Linked DNA regions of Astyanax mexicanus. The protein of the gene in region 1 interacts with the protein of each later gene in a pairwise test. Links are inferred from orthologs where the notes say so. Each region holds a gene or a part of one and is shown on either strand. Other genes may lie near its edges.

Evidence for each region.
Region 2: the proteins of prkab2 (region 1) and stx19 interact in binary tests that used the Homo sapiens proteins (3 or more experiments, as listed by UniProt). The link is inferred for Astyanax mexicanus from reciprocal best matches to the Homo sapiens genes PRKAB2 and STX19.
Region 3: the proteins of prkab2 (region 1) and UBX domain-containing protein 11-like interact in binary tests that used the Homo sapiens proteins (3 or more experiments, as listed by UniProt). The link is inferred for Astyanax mexicanus from reciprocal best matches to the Homo sapiens genes PRKAB2 and UBXN11.

The regions. Positions count from the first base shown.
Region 1 is NC_064411.1:27,924,552-27,932,108, reverse strand, and holds the start of prkab2 (5'-AMP-activated protein kinase subunit beta-2), read left to right. Parts: upstream 1-4,536; 5' UTR 4,537-4,644; intron 4,645-7,557. Other genes in the region: ift57 (intraflagellar transport protein 57 homolog), read left to right, coding at 509-575, 3,027-3,208. UniProt on the Homo sapiens protein: Non-catalytic subunit of AMP-activated protein kinase (AMPK), an energy sensor protein kinase that plays a key role in regulating cellular energy metabolism.
Region 2 is NC_064418.1:27,583,405-27,590,524, reverse strand, and holds the start of stx19 (syntaxin-19), read left to right. Parts: upstream 1-4,113; 5' UTR 4,114-4,414; intron 4,415-7,120. UniProt on the Homo sapiens protein: Plays a role in endosomal trafficking of the epidermal growth factor receptor (EGFR).
Region 3 is NC_064408.1:128,134,043-128,141,722, forward strand, and holds the start of UBX domain-containing protein 11-like, read left to right. Parts: upstream 1-4,673; 5' UTR 4,674-4,824; intron 4,825-4,908; 5' UTR 4,909-4,946; intron 4,947-6,852; 5' UTR 6,853-6,947; coding exon 6,948-6,972; intron 6,973-7,680. UniProt on the Homo sapiens protein: May be involved in the reorganization of actin cytoskeleton mediated by RND1, RND2 and RND3. Promotes RHOA activation mediated by GNA12 and GNA13.

The DNA of each region.
Region 1 (7,557 bases):
TGGCTTACCAGAACACTCGGTGTTCCTCAGTGTAGCGCTGTCAGCCGGATTTACGAGCGCTAACTGAGGCAAGCCCTAGTGGTTAGCCACTAATGCTAATGCTGATGCACACATCCTTAGTGGAAATCTGGCTTACTATATATAAACGGAAGCGCTTATTGCCAAATAAACAGTTTTCAGGAGAGAAACCTGTGTAGATTAACATCCAATGCTCATTTTATTTTAATATATATATTTTTTAAGAATTACAGTTTTGTTTACTTAGCTTAGCTTTACTTAACTTAGTTACCCCCACTACCACCCTGCGGGGAGATCTGCTGAATTAGAAGGATACTAGTAATGATCTCGTAATTCACCTTTTAATCCGGTGCACCTTATAGTGCAAAAAATATGGTATATGCACTTCTTGGTGGCAAAACAGCTGCAATAAACTCATACTCTGTGAAAGTATAATAACTGTTATATAATAACTGAATAAAATGAATCATTCAAAGTATTATGTGTTCAGATCAGTGAAGAGCTGGAGAAAGTCAAACAGGAGATGGAGGAGAAGGGTAGCAGCATGTCAGATGGAGGTAAAACTACACACACATATAAAAGGATATTTTAAACTTTTTTTAGAAATAAAAAACTAAAAAAAAGTGAGGCGTGCAATATTTTTCGCCCCCTTTAATTTCAGTGCAGAAAACTCACTCCAGATGTTCAGTGAGGATCTCTGAATAATCCAATGTTGACCTAAATGACTGATTATTGTAAATAGAATTCACCTGTGTGTAATCAAGTCTCTGTATAAATGCATCTGCTCTGTGATAGTCTCAGAGTTCAGAGAGCATCATAAAGACCAAGGAACACACCAGGCAGGTCCGAGATACTGTTGTGGAGAAGTTTAAAGCTGAATTTGGATACAAAAAGATTTCCCAAGCTTTAAACTTCTCAAGGAACACTGTGCAAGTGATCATACTGAAATGGAAGGAGTATCAGACCACTGCAAATCTACCAAGACCCAGCATTCCCTCTAAACCAGGGGTATTTAATTAGAATTCAGTATGGTCCAGTTAGAGAAAATTTCGACAGGCCAAGGTCCGGACCGATTGTTAACTTGTGTTATGATTAAGTTAAATATCCTCTAAGGTTGTTTGAACTGAATGATGAAAAAATATATAATAATAATAATAATAATAATAATAATAATAATAATAATAATAAAATGCCTCTCTGGCCAGATTTTGTATACATTCCTCCCCTGTCTGTCTCTCTGTCGCGCTTGGCGTGACTTTAGTTTACGCCCGTTCTCGTTTTTCCGCCCATTCTCGGGCTCTCTATCTCCACATAAAGGCGGTTTTACGGCCGCGTCCCAATTCAACAGCCGGAGCAGCGGGACCGCAACCCTGACAACAAGGGTTTGATCCCGCGCGAGGAGCGGTGTGTTTATTTATTTATTTTTTCCTTACCGCGTCTGCACAGATCTGATTGACTGAAGAGAGCGTTTGGTGATCTTACCCCACACGTGATTGGTCTGTGATTTACTGTGCCGCAAAGCGTGTATACAATTAAATCCTTCTCAGTAGGTTTCTCCGCAATGGACAACGTTTGGGTCCAGAACACGGTCCACCCAATAGTGACCTCTGCTCTAAACTTTCAGCTCAGACAAGGAGAAGACTGATCAGATATGCAGCCAAGAGGCCATGTTCAGATATCCATAAAAAATCTAGTTTAAAGTTTGCCACCAGCCACCTGGGAGACACACCAAACATGTGGAAGAAAGTGTTCTGGGCAGATGAAATCAAAATTGAACTTTTTGGCCACAAGGCAAAAAACGTTATGTTTGATGTAAAAGTAACACAGCTCATCAACCTGAACACACCATCCCCACTGTCAAACATGGTGGTGGCAGCATCATGGTTTGGGCCTGCTTTTCTTCAGCAGGGTCAGGGAAGATGGTTAAAATTGATGGGAAGATGGATGTAGCCGAATACAGGACCATTCTGGAAGAAAACCTGTTGGAGTCTGCAGAAGACCTGAGACTGGGAAGGAGATTTATCTTCCAACAAGACAATGATCCAAAACATAAAGCAAAATCTACAATGGAACAGTAACCCGTTGTTAAAATGGCCAAGTCAAAGTCCAGACCTGAATCTAATCGAGAATCTGTGAAAAGAGCTGAAAACTGCTGTTCACAAACCAACGCTCTCCATTCAACCTCACTGAGCTCCAGCTGTTTTAAGAAGAAAAATGGGCAAAAATTTCAGTCTCTCGATGTGCGAAACTGATACATACCCCAGAGACATACCCCAAACCACTTGCAGCTGTAATCACAGCAAAAGGTGGCGCTACAAAGTATTTTAATGCAAGGGGGCGGAATAATATTGCACGCCCCACTTTTCAGTTTTTTTATTTCTAAAAAAAGTTTAAAATGTCCAATAAATTTTGTTCCACTTCACGATTGTGTCCCACTTGTTGTTGATTCTTCACAAAAAATTTCATTTTCAATGAAATTTCAATTTTACAATTTCATATCTTCATATTTGAAGCCTGAAATGTGGCAAAGGGTTGAAAAGTTCTAGGGGGCCGAATACTTATGCAAGGCACTGTATATACATACAAAAAACATACTTACAAATAGTATTTTTTTTAAAAGCCCTTTAAAAATTTAAAACATTGTTTTATTGTTTTATTTACTGTTTATGGTGATACACAGTGGCACGAACATCCTGCAGCAGTGGGTGCAGACGCTCAATGAATCACAACATTGTTCAATTCTTCAGTGCTACACAGCGCACCATGCAGTATTGTTTTCATTAACAATTGTAATTAAAAAATAAAACTATACCATAGAAATTTATATGACTTGTGAAATAAACATAAAATGTAAAAAGATCGTCTCTGGCGTTGTGGGTGATAAATAAGGAGAAGCTGATAATAAACATCTTCTGTGTAAAGGAATAGTCTACTACGGGGCTCTCACTTCTGTGCTTCATTGCTGGGATGTTTGATTGAGGTGGCACTGATGTTTTGTTTGTTTTCAGCCCCGGTGGTGAAGATCCGTCAGAGCCTGACGAAGCTGAAGCAGGAGATCCAGCAGATGGATGTGAGAATGGGAGTGGTGGAACACACGCTGCTGCAGGCCAAGCTAAAAGAAAAGAACAACATGACGAGAGACATGCATGCTACACACATTACAGAGACCAGCACACACACCTACTCATAATGTCTCTTACACACACACAACCTGTATAAAATATATCTATTTATATATGACCTATATATATTGCTGTAAATGTCCTTGTCTTTATAACTTTTATAATAAACATCTAATTTCATGTATATAAAACGTGTACGTTTTATTCATGAAAAGTGAGTGAGTCACTGAAAACTATGTTTCTGTATAATGTTAAAGAATGTAGAGTAAAACATATATATAATATATATATATATAATTTATAATAATAATAATAAAAATAATGTATTTTTAACAGGTTGTTGAACACTTATCTTTACCTACAAAACTGAATTCATTCAATGACTATTTTAGAGTCAGAGACAGCTCCCTTGTCAGCAGCTTAGCTGTGCCCTGTATTTACACAATTATGTGCACTGTAATGTTCACTGTACAATTGGTGGCCACTGTTCCATCTTTGTCCAACACAAATAAGGTAAATCTGGTTATCTTGTCTACATTACTTTCCTGTAAATTTGATTGTTTCATCCTGGTTATCTTATCTGCAGATTGTACACAGTGTAATCACAATTGAGTGTCTGACCTGACAGACTGACAAACAACAACTTTTTCTGAATGAGAAGTGAAAACAGGGTCACAATGGGGCAACTGGTGGTATTTTTATGTAGTTGGTTTCGTGTCTCAGGTGGTTTCTGCGGCATTGAGTGGAGTGGTGGCAACTTTATTTATGTAACACCATTCATACTTAAAAAAGCATCACAATGCTTCAAAATAAACTTAAATAAAAAATGTAAACAAAACCCCAAAGCTCCCAAAAATATCCCCCCCCCCCCAAAATAAAATTCATGCCATAGACAGTGTGCAGTCAATTGTATGTATTTCAGCATTAACCCTTTAAGACCTGAATTATGTTCCAGTGCTAAAAACATATGAGAGAGATGTTTTCAACAGATGACTCTAATGTTTTGATATTTAATATATAGAAAAAAATTATCTAATGAACTAAAATACATAACTGCTTTTTTAATGTTCATGGCATTGGAATCACATGTTCAACCTTTTCTTTCTTTAACCTTTTTGTTTTAAAACCATCAACGGTAAAATAAAAATAATTAATAATAAGTATACTTTTAATCTTGGTCTCATCCGACAAAACACACGGTCCCAGTTATAATCCCAGTACCGCTTAGCCAACTCCATGTAAAAAATACATTTATTTTAAGGCTTTTTACACATTTTAACTAGGGATGCCAATAATTTGAGGGCTGTATATTCTTATTGACAACAAATCTCATAAAAGTCCAGTGTAGTGCACGCAGGGTCTCAAATGGTTAAGTGTAAAACGCGTTACTCGCCGCCTTCTGGGTTTTTTGGATGTTGCGCTTGCCGTACAATGTCAAGTATGTTGTCAAAGTTGGATTAGGAGGTAGAGCGACGGAAATAAGGGCTTTTTAACCGTGAAACAGGTGAGTTTTCCCTGCATTTTGAGTGTGTTTAAAGTGTACTGGTTTAAACTCGCATATTTTGTGATATTTAACTGGGAGAGCAGGCTAATATTCACCCTGTAGCTCTCAGGCTAGTGCAACTGTAGCCGTTAGCCCGCTAAGCTAACTGGTAAAGGCAGTTAGCTGTGGGAGTAGCGGGGCTAGCCCAGCCCGTGTCGCAGTGTCCGACCTGTTACTGGAGCCGGAGGGAGAAACGGTTTACTGTAACGTTAAACACACTAACACAGTGACACAGTGAGCTGTTTTACTTTAGTTCACAATTTTTTTCCAGTCGCTTAATTGCTTTAATCCAATCTGCACTTACCTTTTCAAAATTTTATATACATTTAACCCAACATCTGTTGTGGACTATACTATTCACACAATTCATGTTGCTAGCACGCAATATGCATTCAGTTTTAAACATGCTTACATTTTATTAACAAACAGAATTCCCCACATGAGAGAAAGAGAAAGAAGAGAGGAAGAAAAATATCTGGACAGGGAAATTTATAGTTAGTTTACATTTACATTGTAAATGAATGTATTTTAGTACAATATAAATATATTAAAGAAGCTTAGTTGTTCTGGAGTTTGTCTGGAGTTGTCTTGAGTCTGAATGATATATGATTATACTTCTCACCCAACCACAATCAGATTCACTCTATCTGGATGGAGAGATTTATCTGGAAAGGGTTTTTTGAACTTTGAGAAAACCCAGGCTTGAGTAAAAGTGCTCGATCAAAAAAGTGACTTAAGTAGAAGTTAAAGTGTTTTTTGATCACCACACTTAAGTGAAAGTACTAAAGTATTCAACATTTCTGAGCATTTTTAATACAGAGATTACAAATTAGGCAGATAAAAAAAAATAAAGTGCTAAAATAGTGTTTAAAAAACAAAACAGTTAATCTATTGAATTCAGAGTGCTTTAAAAAAAATCATTACAGACAATAATAAATAAAATAAATTAAATATGAAAGCAAAGTTTTCTCCTGCTAGATTTCATGAATTATTAACATCCGTTTAGGGTCTTTAGAAAATATGACAGAAATTGTTCTATTTTAGAATGCAAAAAAAAAAAAAAACTAGTGTCATTTGTGTGTGAGGGAATAATTTTAGCCAATGTAAACTAAAGTTGTTCAGTTTGTGAAAAACAACAGTGATTGTCATTATAAAAGATTATATGTATTGATGCACAGAATCAAGCCAGACAGAAAAACGAACCGGTGTGCCGCCCAGCGGTCTGCCCAGCGCCAGGTGAAGCAGAACAAGCCTGTTATATTGTGATGTATTGGCTGTTGACGGTCATGTGTGTTTGCTATGCATAACATCACAAAGCTATTTTTAAGGCTTTATTCCTGTGATCTGTGCTGTGGAAGTACATCACTTTGTGTACTAGCACATTATCGTGATGCTAGCGTTAGCATTATCTATCTTTAAAGATGGTAAATCAGCCCAACGCACAACATAAACATTAAAAAAAAAAAAGCAAGAGGATATGAGGTAAAATTAGGCTGACTGCAGAACATCCTTGACCACAGAATACCTTCAGCTTGGCTCTTAACACAAATAGAACCTCACTGTTATGTCACTTGTCAGTGCCTGATCGTGCTACTGTAAACAAGCCAAGGTGATGTGATGTGATTGATTTAAATAAAATTGTAGGTAGTATCGAATACACACTTTCATTTAAAACACTACTATTTAGTAAGTGGGGTTTCAACACACAGCTTAGTAACTACTGTCTGACAGCAATCTTCACATGTAAACTAATATTTAACCCAAGAGTTAACATACCCTGTCATAGACCCAGTATTTTAACCCCAATATATTTACAGTCATATTCCCACAATTAAGAACAAGTAAACATGAATGAGCTGTATATATGATTATGAAACCTCACTCAACAACCAACTTTTACAGGTGCTAAATTTGTCATACAGTCATATGAAAAAGTTTGGGACCCCATATTAATCATAATCATTTTTAGTTGTAAATATTTGGGTGTTTGTAACAGCCATTTCAGTTTGATATATCTAATAACTGATGGACACAGTAATAGTTCAGAATTGAAATAAGGTTTATTGCACTGAACAGAAAATGTGCAATATGCATTAAACCAAAATTTGACCGTGCAAAAGTATGGGCACCCTTATCATTTTATTGATTTGAATACTCAGACATCCGAAGCTGCAAAAGTTGATTTCAGGGAGGTTAATCACCTGACAGTAGCAGTAGAACATTCATGTGTAGGATGTTGCATCACTGCTATTCAAAAGTTAGTCGACAGAGCAAAATTAAGGAACCCTAAGTGTTGCGGTAAGGGCAATATTAGCTAGCGGTTCTCCAGCAGTGCTAGCTTGGGTTAGCATCAGGCTGCAGGTGGTTAATGCTCACCTCTAAACGGCAAAGTGGCTAGTGCTTAGCACGGGTAGCGGCTAATGCTTATGCTGCTCCAGCAGGGCTAGCCAGGGTTAGCAGCAGGCTACAGGCCGATAATACTCACCTCTGTTAACGGCTAATACTGGTGGAGAACTAAAATTAAACTCCTGTATAACTCTGTTTTTCAGCGAAGTGGCTTTACTGCTCCTTAATACCTGACTGGTAGAATTCATACATAAAGCGCACCAGATTAAAAGGTGCACTAGTAATTTTTAGGAAAATTGAAGGATTTTATGAGCACCTTGCGTAAAATGTAAAATATTTAAGAGCCATTCATTTCTCTGACTGGACTGCACAACTGACTGACTGGACAACTTTGTATTAATTTAAGAAATACTTGCTTTGTTGTGGAGTTCCAAAGGTCATGTAATTCATCTTAAGGTTCAAAAATAAAATTCAGTGTTTAAAAAAATGTTAATTGTTTTGCTTTTTAATATTTTAAATACAGTGTTT
Region 2 (7,120 bases), on another chromosome or scaffold:
GTGTGGACAGACACTCACGGATGTAAAAACAGCAAATGGGTTTAAAGTTAGAAGGATCTGTAAAAATCAATGTCGGGCCAGGTCAAACAACAAAAGCAAAATCAAACACATGGACAAAACCAGTAAATATGAATAAAGAAGAAGAGAAAAACACAAAAGCCAAAAACAAATTACAAATAGCCAGACAGAGTTTACAAACACATAAACATAATCAAAGGGGTCAAAAGTGTTTACAATAATTACTCCGGTAGGAGTATAGATAAAAAAGGTTTAAAACTCAAAGTAACTTTTTTGGTTTCAAGTAACGTGTTTAGTTTCAAAGCTAAATGTAGCTAAAAGTACACTACCCCCCCCCCCCCCTTTTTTTTCTAAAAGCCACAGTGACAATACTGTTAAAATTAATAAAATGTAAATGTTGATAAAATTTTGGATGCACTATGCGTACCTGTTTCAGCCGCATATATTCCCATTGAAAATAAATGTATTTAAGAACATATGTTATGTAAATATATTAAAGAAGCTTAGTTGGACATTTTGCTCGCGTTCTCTTGAATCTCTGCACAGATCATCTTCATACTAGGCTTCATACGTCTGCTATGTTCTTGCTGGTGTGTGGGCCGTGACGTGTACAGGTGTGATGGATCACAGTATAAACCAATAGGGGGTCGGAATAGTATATGTTTATACTTCTCATCCAACCATTATCAGATTCATTTTATCTGGATTTTTTTTTTGGATGATGAGAAGCTGGAATGAAAACAAGCTGAAATGAAATACAAGTAACAAGGCTATTTTTAAAATGTAAGGAGTATAAAGTACAAATAATTGTGTGAAAATGTAAGGAGTAGAAGTAAGTTGTCTAAATAATCAATTACTCCAGTAAATAATACACTTGCAAGAAAAAATATGTGAACCCTTTGGGATTACTTGGGTTTCTTCTTCTTGTCATAGACAAACACAAACAATTATATGTTTGCATGTTTTTATTAAACACAACATAAGTATGTGAACCCCTAGGCTAATGACTTTTCTAAGAGCTAATTGGAGCTAGGATGTGATGAGATTGGATGTGTTAAAGCTGCCCTATAAAAACACACCAGTTTTGAGTTTGCTGTTCTTAAGAAGCATTGATTGATGTGAATCATGTCTCGCACAAAAAAGGTTGTGCACTGTTGCTACTCTCCCTAGGTGTGGTCGTCCTGTAAAGATGACTGCAAGAGCACAGCGCAGAATAATCAATGAGGTGAGGAAGAATCCTGGAGTGTCAGCTAAAGACATAGAAATCTGGCACATGCTATCATTTTTTTTTTTGACAAAACAAATCTACAATAAGTACAACATTAGACAAGATTGGACTTTATGGGAGGACACCACGGAAGAAGCCACTGCTGTCCAAAAAAAAAAACATTGCTGCACGTTTAAAGTTTGCAAAAGAGCATCTGGATGTTCCACAGCAGTACTGGTAAAATATACTGTGGATGGATGAAACCAAAACTGAGTTGTTTGAAAGGAACACACAATGCAATGTGTGAAGAAAAAAAGGCACAGCACACCATCATCAAAACCTTATCTCAACATTGAAATATGGTGGAGGGGGCATCATGGTTTGGGGCTGTTTTGCTGCATCAGGACCTGGACATATTGCTATCATCAACAAAAAAATAAATTCCCAAGTTAACCAAAACATTTAGCAGGAAAACTGTCCATCAACTGACCATCTGTCCACCAACTGAGGCTCAACAGAAGATGGATGATGCAACAGGACAACGACCCAAAACAGAAAATCAACAACCAAATGGCTTCAACAGAAGAAAATATGCCTTCTGGAGACAAAATGAGTGGTATTCTGGGTAATGCAGTCCAGAGAGTCAATATAAGAAATAGGTCCAGGAAAATATGCTCATATACATATATCCTCAAATAAAATCCAAATCTTAAGATGTGTTCTTAAATGCTTCTTAAAGTGTGCACTGAGTTCTGCTACTTGGCAGTAAAATAACTGATCCACTACTCCACGTTCTGTGGAATGTACACACAGTCCTTATTACAGACCATTTTAAGCTCTGTGATCATTTAATGCTGCACTGTCTTTTCAAGAGGGTCGGAGTGTGTTTACACTTTGTCCTTGTTTACATTTTTCCCTGCATGCTTTCATTATCCGTTTAACATCTATCACTCCAGTGCCTCTGTGACTAGTGTAGGAATGAAAGCAGGCTGAAGAAAACAGGAAAAATTGTTTGAAGGGAGGTTATTTGGAGGAAGCTGACAGGCCTTTGAATTTTAGATCTGCATGCCCGTCCAAAAGTGAAGAAATCCAGATCATATAGCAGCTCATTGTTTTATGATTGTGAGCTAATTAACCAAACTATTTTTTTTCCTTCTTTTTGTTAGAGTTACTGGTTTTATTATCGAGACCTGCATGAAGAAAAACAGTCATTCTGTTTTGTTATTCTGTGCTATCTGTCTCACCCTCATTTATCTTTGTGTACTGCAGAAAACATTGAAACATTAAAATAATTTCTATTTCTCTTCCATATCCAGTAAAACAACATAAATGTTTTGCAACCGTTGACTACAGATATCCTTACAAATGGAGAGGCTTTAGAGGAAGCTAGCACTTAGCACTTAGCACTCTTTGATGAAAGAAATTAGGTCCCACTTTATAATAAGTGTCCCTAAGTAGTATGTAATTACACGGTAACAATCCATGTAACTACAGTGTAACTACTGATGAAGTACACAATGATACAGATTAACTACAGAGGTACAGGTTATGTAATTACACATGTGTATTTAGGTTAATTTTGACTTGTGTAAGTACACATGTGTACCAGGGTGAGTGTACTTACACAAGTGATAGAGTAAGTGTACTTACACATGTGTAACAACGTGTGTGTACTTACACATGTGTAATAGTGTGTGTGTGATAAGTCAAGTATAAACTTATCCAACATCTATTGTCTAGTATGTAATTAGGGCTGATTGAGTACACACACGTTGTTACACATGTGTAATTGAATTCTAATTAAATACCCCTGGTTTAGATCAAAGAATATTCATGTGTTAGAATGGCCCAGTCTTAAATCACATTAAGCTTCTGTGGCAACACATGAAAACTGCTGTTTACAGATGCTCTCCATCCAATTTGGCTGAGCTTGAGCTGTTTTATAAAGAAGAATGGGCAAAAATCTCAGTCTCTAGATGCGTATATCTGGTAGAGACACACCCAAAAAGACTTGCAGCTGTAATTGCAGCGAATAGTGGGTCTACTAAATAGAGGGGGGGCTGAATACTTTTCACGTCCCACTTTTCAGATTTTTATTTGATAAAAAAATTAAAAACCATGAATCATTTTCATTACACTTCACAATTATGCAATGTTTTGTAATGGTCTATTATTTAAAATCTCGACAAAATACATTTAAGTTTGTGGTTGTAAGGTCACAAAATGAGGAAAAGTTTAAGGAATATGAATACTTTGGCAAGCCACTCTATAACTGGTCAGTAATAAACAAATACATTTAATGGGCTTAAATATAAGTTAGTCATTTAGATCACTTTTTTTTATTAGTGAAGAAATTGATTTAAACACATTTATATGATAAACACAAACCTAACATTTTTCAACATTTCCCTGATAAATGTAACAGTTTTCTGTTTCCCGTTATAAGGAGTAACACTACCAACACTCCCAAACAGGTTTTCCCAGTTATGATTCACACAGCTCTTTGTCTCTTGTTTCCACTGCATTCTCAATTACATATTTTTATCATATCATATTTTTATCACCTCACATTTAAATCTAGTGGTTGAAAAAAGGGAAAAAATAGCTAAAAAGAAGGCAGAACATTTGTGTGTGTGTGTGTGTGTGAACTGTGTGGGGGTGGGGTAAATTCTACTGTACTGGGCTGAGGAATTCTAAACCCTGTCAGAAACAATCAGAACAGTTCGATGAGCTTATTGTTGCATGAGGTCGCAACAGGCCCAGAAAACAGGCAGCGATTGGGCTGCAGCATGTGCTCATTCTGAGCTTTTTTTTTTTTTCATGTCACTCCTACTCCAACTCCAGAAAGCCTAACAAACCTCTCTCTCTCTCCATTGGATAAACAGAGTTCTAGCGGTGGCAGGAGGTGTGGTTGAAAACTAGCTCCACAAGATTTCCCAGCAGTCTGGACTGTATAACTGACACTGGCTGAGTTAAGGCAGACATTTTTACCTCTGGGAGTTCCTCTAAATCCAGGCTGGAGCTGGGAATGCCTCGCTACGATCCTGATTGCTACAAATTGACTTTAAGTAAAGTTACTTTTACTATTTTTTGAAGATATCCAAGGTGGCATAGAAGTGTGGGCTGAAATCCAGGGCAGCTCATGATGATGCAGCATGATTCAGTTCTCCAGGACCTGAGGGATAAGAGGTAAAATCTTTGTTTATTTCACAGGATTGATAGAGTAAATATCACAAATAAATATGCCTACAAAATATTCACAAATATGCATTGTTTTTTTGTTTGTACTGTAGTTCAATGCTATTTTTTTTTTTAGGAAAAAAACAAAATAAGGGATGTACAGTATGGTTTCTATATATTGTATGTAGAAATATTAGACATTTATAGTATGACACTATTATAAGGTGTGAATGTACTGCTTATTGTGCAGATTCTATATTAGTCAGTACTTCTCTTTTTGGTTTAAATTAGTAATTAAAGGTGCATACAGATATTCCATGATTATATAAAAGAATCAGACCACAATAAAGGAATATAAACGGAACAAACTGAATTAAAAGAATGAGATTATTTTCTGTCCTGATCTTTAACTACACTCTAAAAAACAGAGGTACGATATGAGTACTTTTTTGCACTCAAGGGTACACTCTTCATAATTGTACCCTCAAAGGTACAATATTGGTCTTTACAGGGTCAGATTTGTTCTCTCTGAAGTACAAAGTAATTTCTAACAGAAATAAGTACAAACTTGTACCATTTAACCTGCAGACAAAAGGTACATTCAGTATTCTGTATCACTGTACTAATAAACAATATATATTTAAACTGCACATTTTTATTTGAAAGCCAGATTTTGGATCATCAAGTTTTTGAGCCATATTTAGTTGATGATAATGTTTATAATATTTACTGGCACAAAAACCATGGGTACAAAAAAGGACTTTCACTGAAAGGTACTTTTTTGTACTTCAATATAAGGTACAGCCCCAGTGACAAGCTTTGTACTCTTTTAAGTACAAATCTGTACTTACTTTTCTTAGTGTGTAAGCAGGATTTGATATTGGCACACACTAAGAAAAGTAAGTACAGATTTGTACTTAAAAGAGTACAAAGCTTTTCGCTGGGGCTGTACCTTAGGTACAAAAAAGTACCTTTCAGTGAAAGACCTTTTTGTACCCATATTTTTGTGCCAGTAAAGATTATAAAGATTGTAAACATTATCATCAACTGAATATGTGTCAAGAACTTGATGACCCAAAATTGTCTGGCTTTCAAATGAAAAATGTGCATTTAAAATATATATTGTTTATTAGTACAGTGATACAGAATACAGATTGTACCTTTTGGCTGGTTAAATGGTACAAATCTGTACTTATTGCTGTTAGAAAAGACTTTGTACTTCAAAGGGAACAAATCTGACCCTGTAAAGACCAATATTGTACCATTATGGGTACAATTATAAAGAATATACCTTTGAGTACAAAAAAGTACTCGTATCGTACCTCTGTTTTTTAGAGTGCAGCTTATATACTGAAACAATACTGTTGACTAGTTTAACCATCCATGCTCTGATATAAGAAATTACTGCCATTATAACTTTTATTAAATGTATCTAAACTAAATTCACATGAATCCTAAAAGTCTGTCCTTACACAGAGAAACCAGCCCACGGTTGAGATATAGTATGTCAACACTATGAGACTTTGTATAAACATGGGCAGAGGATCCTCCCGTGAGGCATAGAAGTGAAAAGAGAGCAAGTCATGAGGTACCAGACCATTTACAATTATTAACTACAGACTTTAAACATAGTTTTTTGTAAGGCTGGACAATATAGCAATATTTTATTGTGTTATTGCAATAAATCTTGTTATTCCATACACAAACTACTTTTCTCAGCATGCTGTGGATATCATCAGTCTAATATGTCAACAGGAATTGTATTATAATAGCAATTTGTAAGAATTTATTGAAAGTAAATTCTGTATCATACAAATGTTAAATCTTTATATATTGTGATTATTATATTTTTCCCATATGAATCATTCTTGTTTGTTGATGTTTGTTGTAAATCAGAACAGAACCATGTGAACTGAATGCGAACAGATTTAGTGAGGAGGTAGAATAACTTTTCTTGGCTATGTGACACTGCCTCAGGAGGCCTCTCACCCAGAACCAGAGTGAACAAAGCCCACTCTTATATTTATAAGCTCTACCTCTAAGGGGATTGGGTGGGCCACACACACACACATCCACTCACGCATACAAGGTATTTTTAGTCTTTCCTCCTTGAAATCCATCTAGCAATTTGATAGCTCCGATTTGCACTACTCTGTTAAATTTCACTTTCTCTGTATTCTGCACTACAACAAACAGCTCTGGAAAAAAAATAAGTTTCTTTGATTTTACCAAATTAAAAACCTCTAGAATATAATCAAGAGGAAGATGGATGATCACAAGCCATCAGACCAAGCTTAACAGCTTGAATTTTTGCACCAGAAGTGACATAAAGTTATTCAAAAGCAGTGTGTAAGACTGGTGGAGGAGAACATGCCAAGATGCATGAAAGGTGTAATTAAAAACCAGGGTTATTCCACCAAATATTGATTTTTGAACTCTTAAAACTTTATGAATATGAACTTGTTTCTTTGCATCTTTTGAGAGGTATTTTATGTTTTTTCAGCCATTTCTCATTTTCTGCAAATAAATGCTCTAAATGACAATATTTTTATTTGACATTTGGGAGAAATGTTGTCTGTAGTTTATAGAATAAAACAACAATGTTAATTTTACTCATTTTAACATAAACCTATAAATAGCAAAATCAGAGAAACTGATTCAGAAACTAAAGTGGCCTCTTATTTTTTTTCCAGAGCTGTATCCTACACAAGATTA
Region 3 (7,680 bases), on another chromosome or scaffold:
GGAGTTCAGAGAAAAACAGTGGATAAATCAGCCTGTAATTTTCTCAGAGGAAAAACACGTACATGATCGTTCTGGACAGGAATAAAATCACAGAGGACCCACATAAAAGAGAAAAATATCCCAGAACCCCCTGAGAAACTAATCCCGTCCGGAAATGGCTTATCTCGTATTGCGCTTCTGTCCTAACCACTTTGTGTAATGCAGTACTTATACGAATTAACGATTAATCTATAATGAAATTTGTAATTGATTTAAATTTAAATAATCAACATTTTGTCAATTGTATCGACTAATCGTTGCAGCCCTATTTCCGATCCAGTGGCAACTGAGTGGAAGAACAAGTAAAGGTGTTTCTAATAAAGCAACCACAGCGAGGTTATTGCACAACCTGAGTATAGATTTTTTGCCAATAGCAAGAAAAACTGGTTAGTGTTGCAGAGCGAACCACAGATTAGCCTAAAAGCATTTCTATTTACAACTATCTATTGTCACCTGTTGCTGACACAGGTGTTCAAATGCACAAACACAGCTTGTCTAAGTTCCTGTAGAAGAGAAGTACTGCAAACAGACAAACAAAACCCATGTCTAACGCGAGACGTGAGATACTAGGGGTATAAAGTCCCCAGTATTGTGGACAACTAGTATAGGATGAGTTGAGGAAGTGGGGGATGTATGAGGTGGGGTTGGTGATCATCATCCAACATCCTGACCTTACATTCCTGACATTCATTTCAATCAAATCCTCACAGCAATGTTCTAAAATATTTACTAGAAAGTCTTCTCTGAACAGTAGAGACTATAAACTCTTTAATACTCTTGTTTTCAAAAGAAAAAATATGCAGAAAAAACAATGAACTTTCACCCATATAGTGACTCTTCTTCCAACGTTAGACCTTAAAACCAGCTGGTGTTTCCACTAAAGTGGCCACTGACAATACAGTAGGTATGGTGTTTCTAATAAAGTGGCCTCTGACAATATAGTAGGTATGGTGTTTCTAATAAAGTGGCCACCAACAAGACAGTGTGTAGAGTGTTTCTAATAAAGTGGCCACTGACAGGATAGCAGGTAGACGAGTACGGCGGGGTGTTTCTAATAAAGTGGCCCCTGACAAGATAGTAGGTAGATGGGTTTGGTGAGGTGTTTCCAATAAAGTGGCCAGTGTGAGCTAATCGCGAAAACACAGAATATTAGCCTGTTAGCAGTGGGTTAGCCGGCAGGCTAACAACAACAGGTTGTGTTTTAGAGATTAATGTATCTCTAAAGCAAATAAAAAGCCAGGATATTAAAAACAGTCGCCTAATTATCACATTAATCGATTTAACTTGGTCAATATCGCGTTAAAACCTCGTAAGTGCCTCTCCGGATCCCCGGGTGAGTGCCAGTGTTAGCCTGTTAGCTCGTTAGCCGCGGCGCTAGTGGAAGTCTATGGGAAGTGTTAGCCTGTTAGCTCGTTAGCCGCGGCGCTAGTGGAAGTCTATGGGAAGTGTTAGCCTGTTAGCTCGTTAGCCGCGGCGCTAGTGGAAGTCTATGGGAAGTGTTAACGCGGGGGGACCGCGGGGTTATGTTCTGGATGTTTCTGAGCGCGGGGTGTGTGTGAGGGGTGTGAGGGAGTGTGGGGGGTGAGAGCGGCGGCTGGCAGCGGTACCGCGGCTGGGAGCCGGACCGGGCCGGGCTGAAGCGGGTCGGGGAGCGGGGTTATAAAAACTCACCAGCGGCGCTTTTTCCCTCAGCATCTTCCGCCGAACCGCCGCCGCTCCGGGGGAGGAGTCTGGAGGAAGGGGAGGAGCCTGTGTGTGTGTGTGTGTGTGTGTGTGAAAGTGAGTGTGTTAATGTGTGTGAGTGTGTGAGTGTGTGTGTGAAAGAGAGAGAGAGAGAGTGTGAGTGAGTGTGTGTGTGTGTGAAAGAGAGAGAGAGAGAGTGTGAGTGAGTGTGTGTGTGTGTGTGAAAGAGAGATAGAGTGTTTGTGTGTGTGTGAGTGTGTGAGTGTGTGTGAAAGAGAGATAGAGTGTTTGTGTGTGTGTGAGTGTGTGAGTGTGTGTGAAAGAGAGATAGAGTGTTTGTGTGTGTGTGTGTGTGTGAAAGAGAGAGTGTGTGTATGAGTGAGTGTGTGTGTGATAGAGAGAGAGAGTGTGAGTGAGTGAGTGAGTGAGTGTGTGTGTGAAAGAGAGAGAGAGTGTTTGTGTGTGTGTGTGTGAAAGAGAGAGAGAGAGAGAGTGTGTGTGTGTGTGTGTGTGTGTGAAAGAGAGAGAGTGTGAGTGAGTGAGTGAGTGAGTGTGTGTGTGAAAGAGAGAGAGAGTGTTTGTGTGTGTGTGTGTGAAAGAGAGAGAGAGAGAGAGTGTGTGTGTGTGTGTGTGTGTGTGAAAGAGAGAGAGTGTGAGTGAGTGAGTGAGTGAGTGTGTGTGTGAAAGAGAGAGAGAGTGTTTGTGTGTGTGTGTGTGAAAGAGAGAGAGAGAGAGAGTGTGTGTGTGTGTGTGTGTGTGTGAAAGAGAGAGAGTGTGAGTGAGTGAGTGAGTGAGTGTGTGTGTGTGAAAGAGAGAGAGAGAGAGTGTGTGTGTGTGTGTGAAAGAGAGAGAGAGAGTGTGAGTGAGTGAGTGAGTGAGTGAGTGAGTGTGTGTGTGAAAGAGAGAGAGAGAGAGTGTGAGTGAGTGAGTGAGTGAGTGTGTGTGTGAAAGAGAGAGAGAGAGTGTTTGTGTGTGTGTGTGAAAGAGAGAGAGAGAGAGTGTGTGTGTGTGTGTGAAAGAGAGAGAGAGAGAGTGTGTGTGTGTGTGTGAAAGAGAGAGAGAGAGTGTGAGTGAGTGAGTGAGTGAGTGAGTGTGTGTGTGAAAGAGAGAGAGAGAGAGTGTGAGTGAGTGAGTGAGTGAGTGTGTGTGAAAGAGAGAGAGTGTGAGTGAGTGAGTGAGTGAGTGAGTGAGTGTGTGTGTGAAAGAGAGAGAGAGAGAGTGTGAGTGAGTGAGTGAGTGAGTGAGTGTGTGTGTGAAAGAGAGAGAGAGTGTGAGTGAGTGAGTGAGTGAGTGAGTGTGTGTGTGAAAGAGAGAGAGAGAGAGTGTGAGTGAGTGAGTGAGTGAGTGTGTGTGAAAGAGAGAGTGTGTGAGTGAGTGAGTGAGTGAGTGAGTGAGTGTGTGTGTGAAAGAGAGAGAGAGAGAGTGTGAGTGAGTGAGTGAGTGAGTGAGTGTGTGTGTGAAAGAGAGAGAGAGTGTGAGTGAGTGAGTGAGTGAGTGAGTGTGTGTGTGAAAGAGAGAGAGAGAGAGTGTGAGTGAGTGAGTGAGTGAGTGTGTGTGAAAGAGAGAGTGTGTGAGTGAGTGAGTGAGTGAGTGAGTGTGTGTGTGAAAGAGAGAGAGTGTGAGTGAGTGAGTGAGTGAGTGAGTGAGTGTGTGTGTGAAAGAGAGAGAGAGAGAGTGTGAGTGAGTGAGTGAGTGAGTGAGTGTGTGTGTGAAAGAGAGAGAGAGTGTGAGTGAGTGAGTGAGTGAGTGAGTGTGTGTGTGAAAGAGAGAGAGAGAGAGTGTGAGTGAGTGAGTGAGTGAGTGTGTGTGTGAAAGAGAGAGAGAGAGAGTGTGAGTGAGTGAGTGAGTGAGTGAGTGAGTGTGTGTGTGAAAGAGAGAGAGAGAGTGTGTGTGTGTGTGTGAAAGAGAGAGAGAGAGAGTGTGAGTGAGTGAGTGAGTGAGTGAGTGTGTGTGTGAAAGAGAGAGAGAGAGAGAGTGTTTGTGTGTGTGTGTGTATGAGTATGTGTATGTGTATGTGTGTATGTGTATGTGTGTGTGTGTGTGTGTGTGTGTGTATGTGTATGTGTGTGTAAAAATGAGAGTGTGTGTGTGTGTGAGTGAAAGTGCGTGTTAATCACTTTTATTCATTTAATTTATTTTTTTTATCTAATTGTTAATTAACTGATTCATATCTCTATTTCTGTTTGTTTTAAGATTATTTTTACCATTTTTTAAGCGTCAATATATTGGGTATTATTTATAGTTGTATTATTTGTATTATTATTGTATTATTCTTTTCTATTATTATTATTATTAGTAGTAGTAGTAGTAATTTCTATATAAAAAGAGACCTGTCCTGTTTTTAATTTGCCATTTTAAGTATGAATAAATATAAAACAGACACCTACATAAACACTTTATTTTTTCTTAAAGTATTTTTTTATGTATTTAGTTGAGTAGATGTTGCTTCTCATAATCTGGATTAGAACATTACTCAAATATTCACTATTCACTGTATACCTGTAACTCTACCTCTTCACTACTTTACTTTAACTGATGCTCTCAAACACTTTGAGATGAGTTCAGCACAGCTGTTAACTGAAAGCCTGAATTCCAGGTAAAATCCAGCAGAGATGTGCAAAACTGATTATCTAAGAATGTAATATATTATTATATTCTGGGTTGTTTAACATTTTTTTGGTTTAGTAAATAATTCCAGATGTTTTTTTTTTATTATAGTTTGTAAAATAATGATAAAACACTGCATTTAAGGTGGGTCCAAACGTTTGACCTTTAAACCCTGGTGTAAATTTTGAATGATGCGCTGGCGCCCCCTACAGGAACAGTTCCACACTGCAGGCGAGCCCGGTTACCACTGACTACCCCATATACAAACAAACAGAGAGGAGAGCTCAGAAACTTCAGCAGCTCATATATATTACAGATATATTACATGTATTTCACTATATCTGCTTTATTACAGCTTTTATTACAGATAACTCGCTATATTAAACACAGTCAGTTAATTTAATGTATATAAATATCAACAGAAATTAGTTCAGCTCTGTCCACACTGAAGAAACACAGGAGAGCTCCTCTAATACCTGCAGAGGATCAGCACAGGTGAGCTTTACCTCATTTATACAGGTGTATCTTATCACAACAAACATTTTATTGAAAATAAAATGATTTATTCTCTTTCTGTAGCAGTGAGAGGCTCATCTACAAGGAGGAAACCCACACAGGTAGGCACTAAACCCTAAATCATATTTCTATTTTTATTTATATTTGAAATACTTTCCTTTGAAGTAATAAAACATACCAGTCCTGTTTAAAAAATAACCGAAACATTTCCTAACCTTTAAAAAAAAAAACTCTTTTATTCTGGTCATTTCCGCCTCTGCTGCGCCCCCTTTGGGTTCAGCTGTGCTATAGGCGAAGATGATGTGTCCGTGTATTTTAATACACGAATACTTACAATATGCAAATCAGTCAACCAATAATACTGCCCCCACTGACATCCAATCATCTACGTCTTACAGCTATTAGAGGCACACTACTGCTGCTGCAGCTCAGCCAATGAGCTCTCCCTCCTGCTAAACCCATACATCACTCAGTGCCCCTCCCAAACTCCTCCTCCTTCCATTTTGTTTAGCTTTTTTTATTTGAGCTGAGGGTGGATTCAGCTAAAATCAGACCAAAATCATTACATTTCTCACCCATGACTTTTTTTTTATCCCATTTTCTCACCAATTTACAAGGCCAAGGATCACTAGTGATCCCCCAACACCAGGAAGGTGAAGACTAGAAGTCAGACTCTCTCTTATGGGGTCAAAATCGGGTCAAAAGTTTTGAGAACCAAAAGTATAATCCATAACTAAAAATAATGAAATAAAAAAGGACAATAATTGATATTATAAATTTTAAAATCATGTTTGTAAACAGAATATTTAATACTCTTTATTAAATAGAGAGTTTAATATTGCATTTTGTGTTTTACCCTTTTCTGACTAGTCCCCACCCACCTGTAAAAACAGGATCAAAACTAAACCAAAAACAAAACCAAGAAAAAAAAATACTAAAAGCAAAGAGATATACTAAAAATACTGCTTCTCAAAACTTTTGACCCTACTTTGACACCATACTCTCTTTTTGAACTGCTGCTGATGCAGCATTACTGAGAAGCATCACAGCGCTAACGCTCGGAGAAAAGCGCAGCGACTCGGTTCTGATACATCAGCTCACAGATGCAGCCTTGTGCTGATCCACATCACCCAACATCAAGTATCAAAAGTGTCCAGGAGTGCAAATGTACAGGATGTTCAGTAAAGTGTCAAAAGCTGGTTTCTGGCAACCTCAGGGGTGGAGTTAGTGTTGGGAACGAGCAGCAGGCGGAGTCAGAGGCCACACCCACACAGATTTCTGTGACGTACTGCACAGTTCTAGTTATAAATGACTGGCTTTAGCCCTGCTGACAACAAAAGACAGTATTTGAACTTTGCATGTTTCCTTAAAACCTTAAGATCCTTAATATCCACCATGATAGCTACCATTAACTACTGAAAATAGAAACCTTATATGTAACCTTAATATGTAAAAATTAGCTGCACCGGTCCTCATACCTAAAGCAGCCCATATTATAACTTCACTGAGAGATGGGGATACATATATGGATATACAACTCTGGAAATTTAGAGCATTTATTTACAGAAAATGAGAAATGTCTGAAATAACAAAAAAAGATGCAGAGCTTTCAGACCTCAAATAATGCAAAGAAAACAAGTTCATATTCATAAAGTTGTAAGAGTTCAGAAATCAATATTTGTTGGAATAACCCTGGTTTTTAATCACAGTTTTTTTTTTTTCATGCATCTTGGCATCATGTTCTCCTCCACCAGTCTTACACACTGCTTTTGGATAACTTTATGCTGCTTTACTCCTGGTGTAAAAATTCAAGCAGTTCAGTTTGGTGGTTTGATGGCTTGTGATCATCCATCTTCCTCTTGATTATATTCCAGAGGATTTTAATTTGGTAAAATCAAAGAAACTGTAATGTTGTAGATATTTGGACCATTTTCCTGTAGAAATGTGAACACGTCAATAATTTGAGATGATATTTAAGTGGATGATGTTTGTGTTTGGATGGATTAGATGAAGCTCTGCTGCTTGGAGAGCTTTTTCCTCAGGATCAGCCAAAGCCAGAAACCACGGGGAACCTTACATCACTGAGGTCAAAGGTAAAGGTCATGCAGCGAAGGAGCCCTAAAGAAGGTGAGCTGAAACGTTAGCATTGCTGCTGATTTAAAGGTCCTGGATTCTCTGGAATGTGCTTGCGCAACTTCTCACACAGGAACCAGGATTTATAAGAAATACTTGCCAAGAGATCAAGAGTATATTTACGCATGGTTTGAGGCATGAGTACTCCTACAAAATATTGCGGAAAGAGAGGGGGAATTAGCAGAACCATGTGGTTAAAGAGACTATTGTATTATTTTTACACTAGCTTATTTATTTCGTATTATCTTGCACTTAAAACCTTTTTTTGAAAAGGTCCTATATATAAAAAAAAGATTATTATTAGTTCACTGTAAAAAAAAGCAAAACTTAAAAAATTCTCCTTAATGTGATTCAGCTGAACCAAAAATATTGAATTGCACTGTAAACTATAGAAAACGAATTACCTAAACCAACTTTATTAAATTTCTTGTTAAAAGTAGATCTGAATAAATAATCTGTTTTGATAGAATTTACAAATTGCAGTTGAACCCTAGTTGAGGTCAAGCCAACTACTTTGCATTACTGCACTACTGCACATGCTCAGTTCGACTCTTTAGGTGAACGGGGTCTACAGAGCAATTCTGCAGGGGTTTTCACCTGGATGTTGGTCACACTATTTGCACATTGGGCGTGTCCTACCATCTCTCACACATCATCAGTGTGTAGTCATTCCCCACGGACTGCCTTGTCCTGGAATTTGCA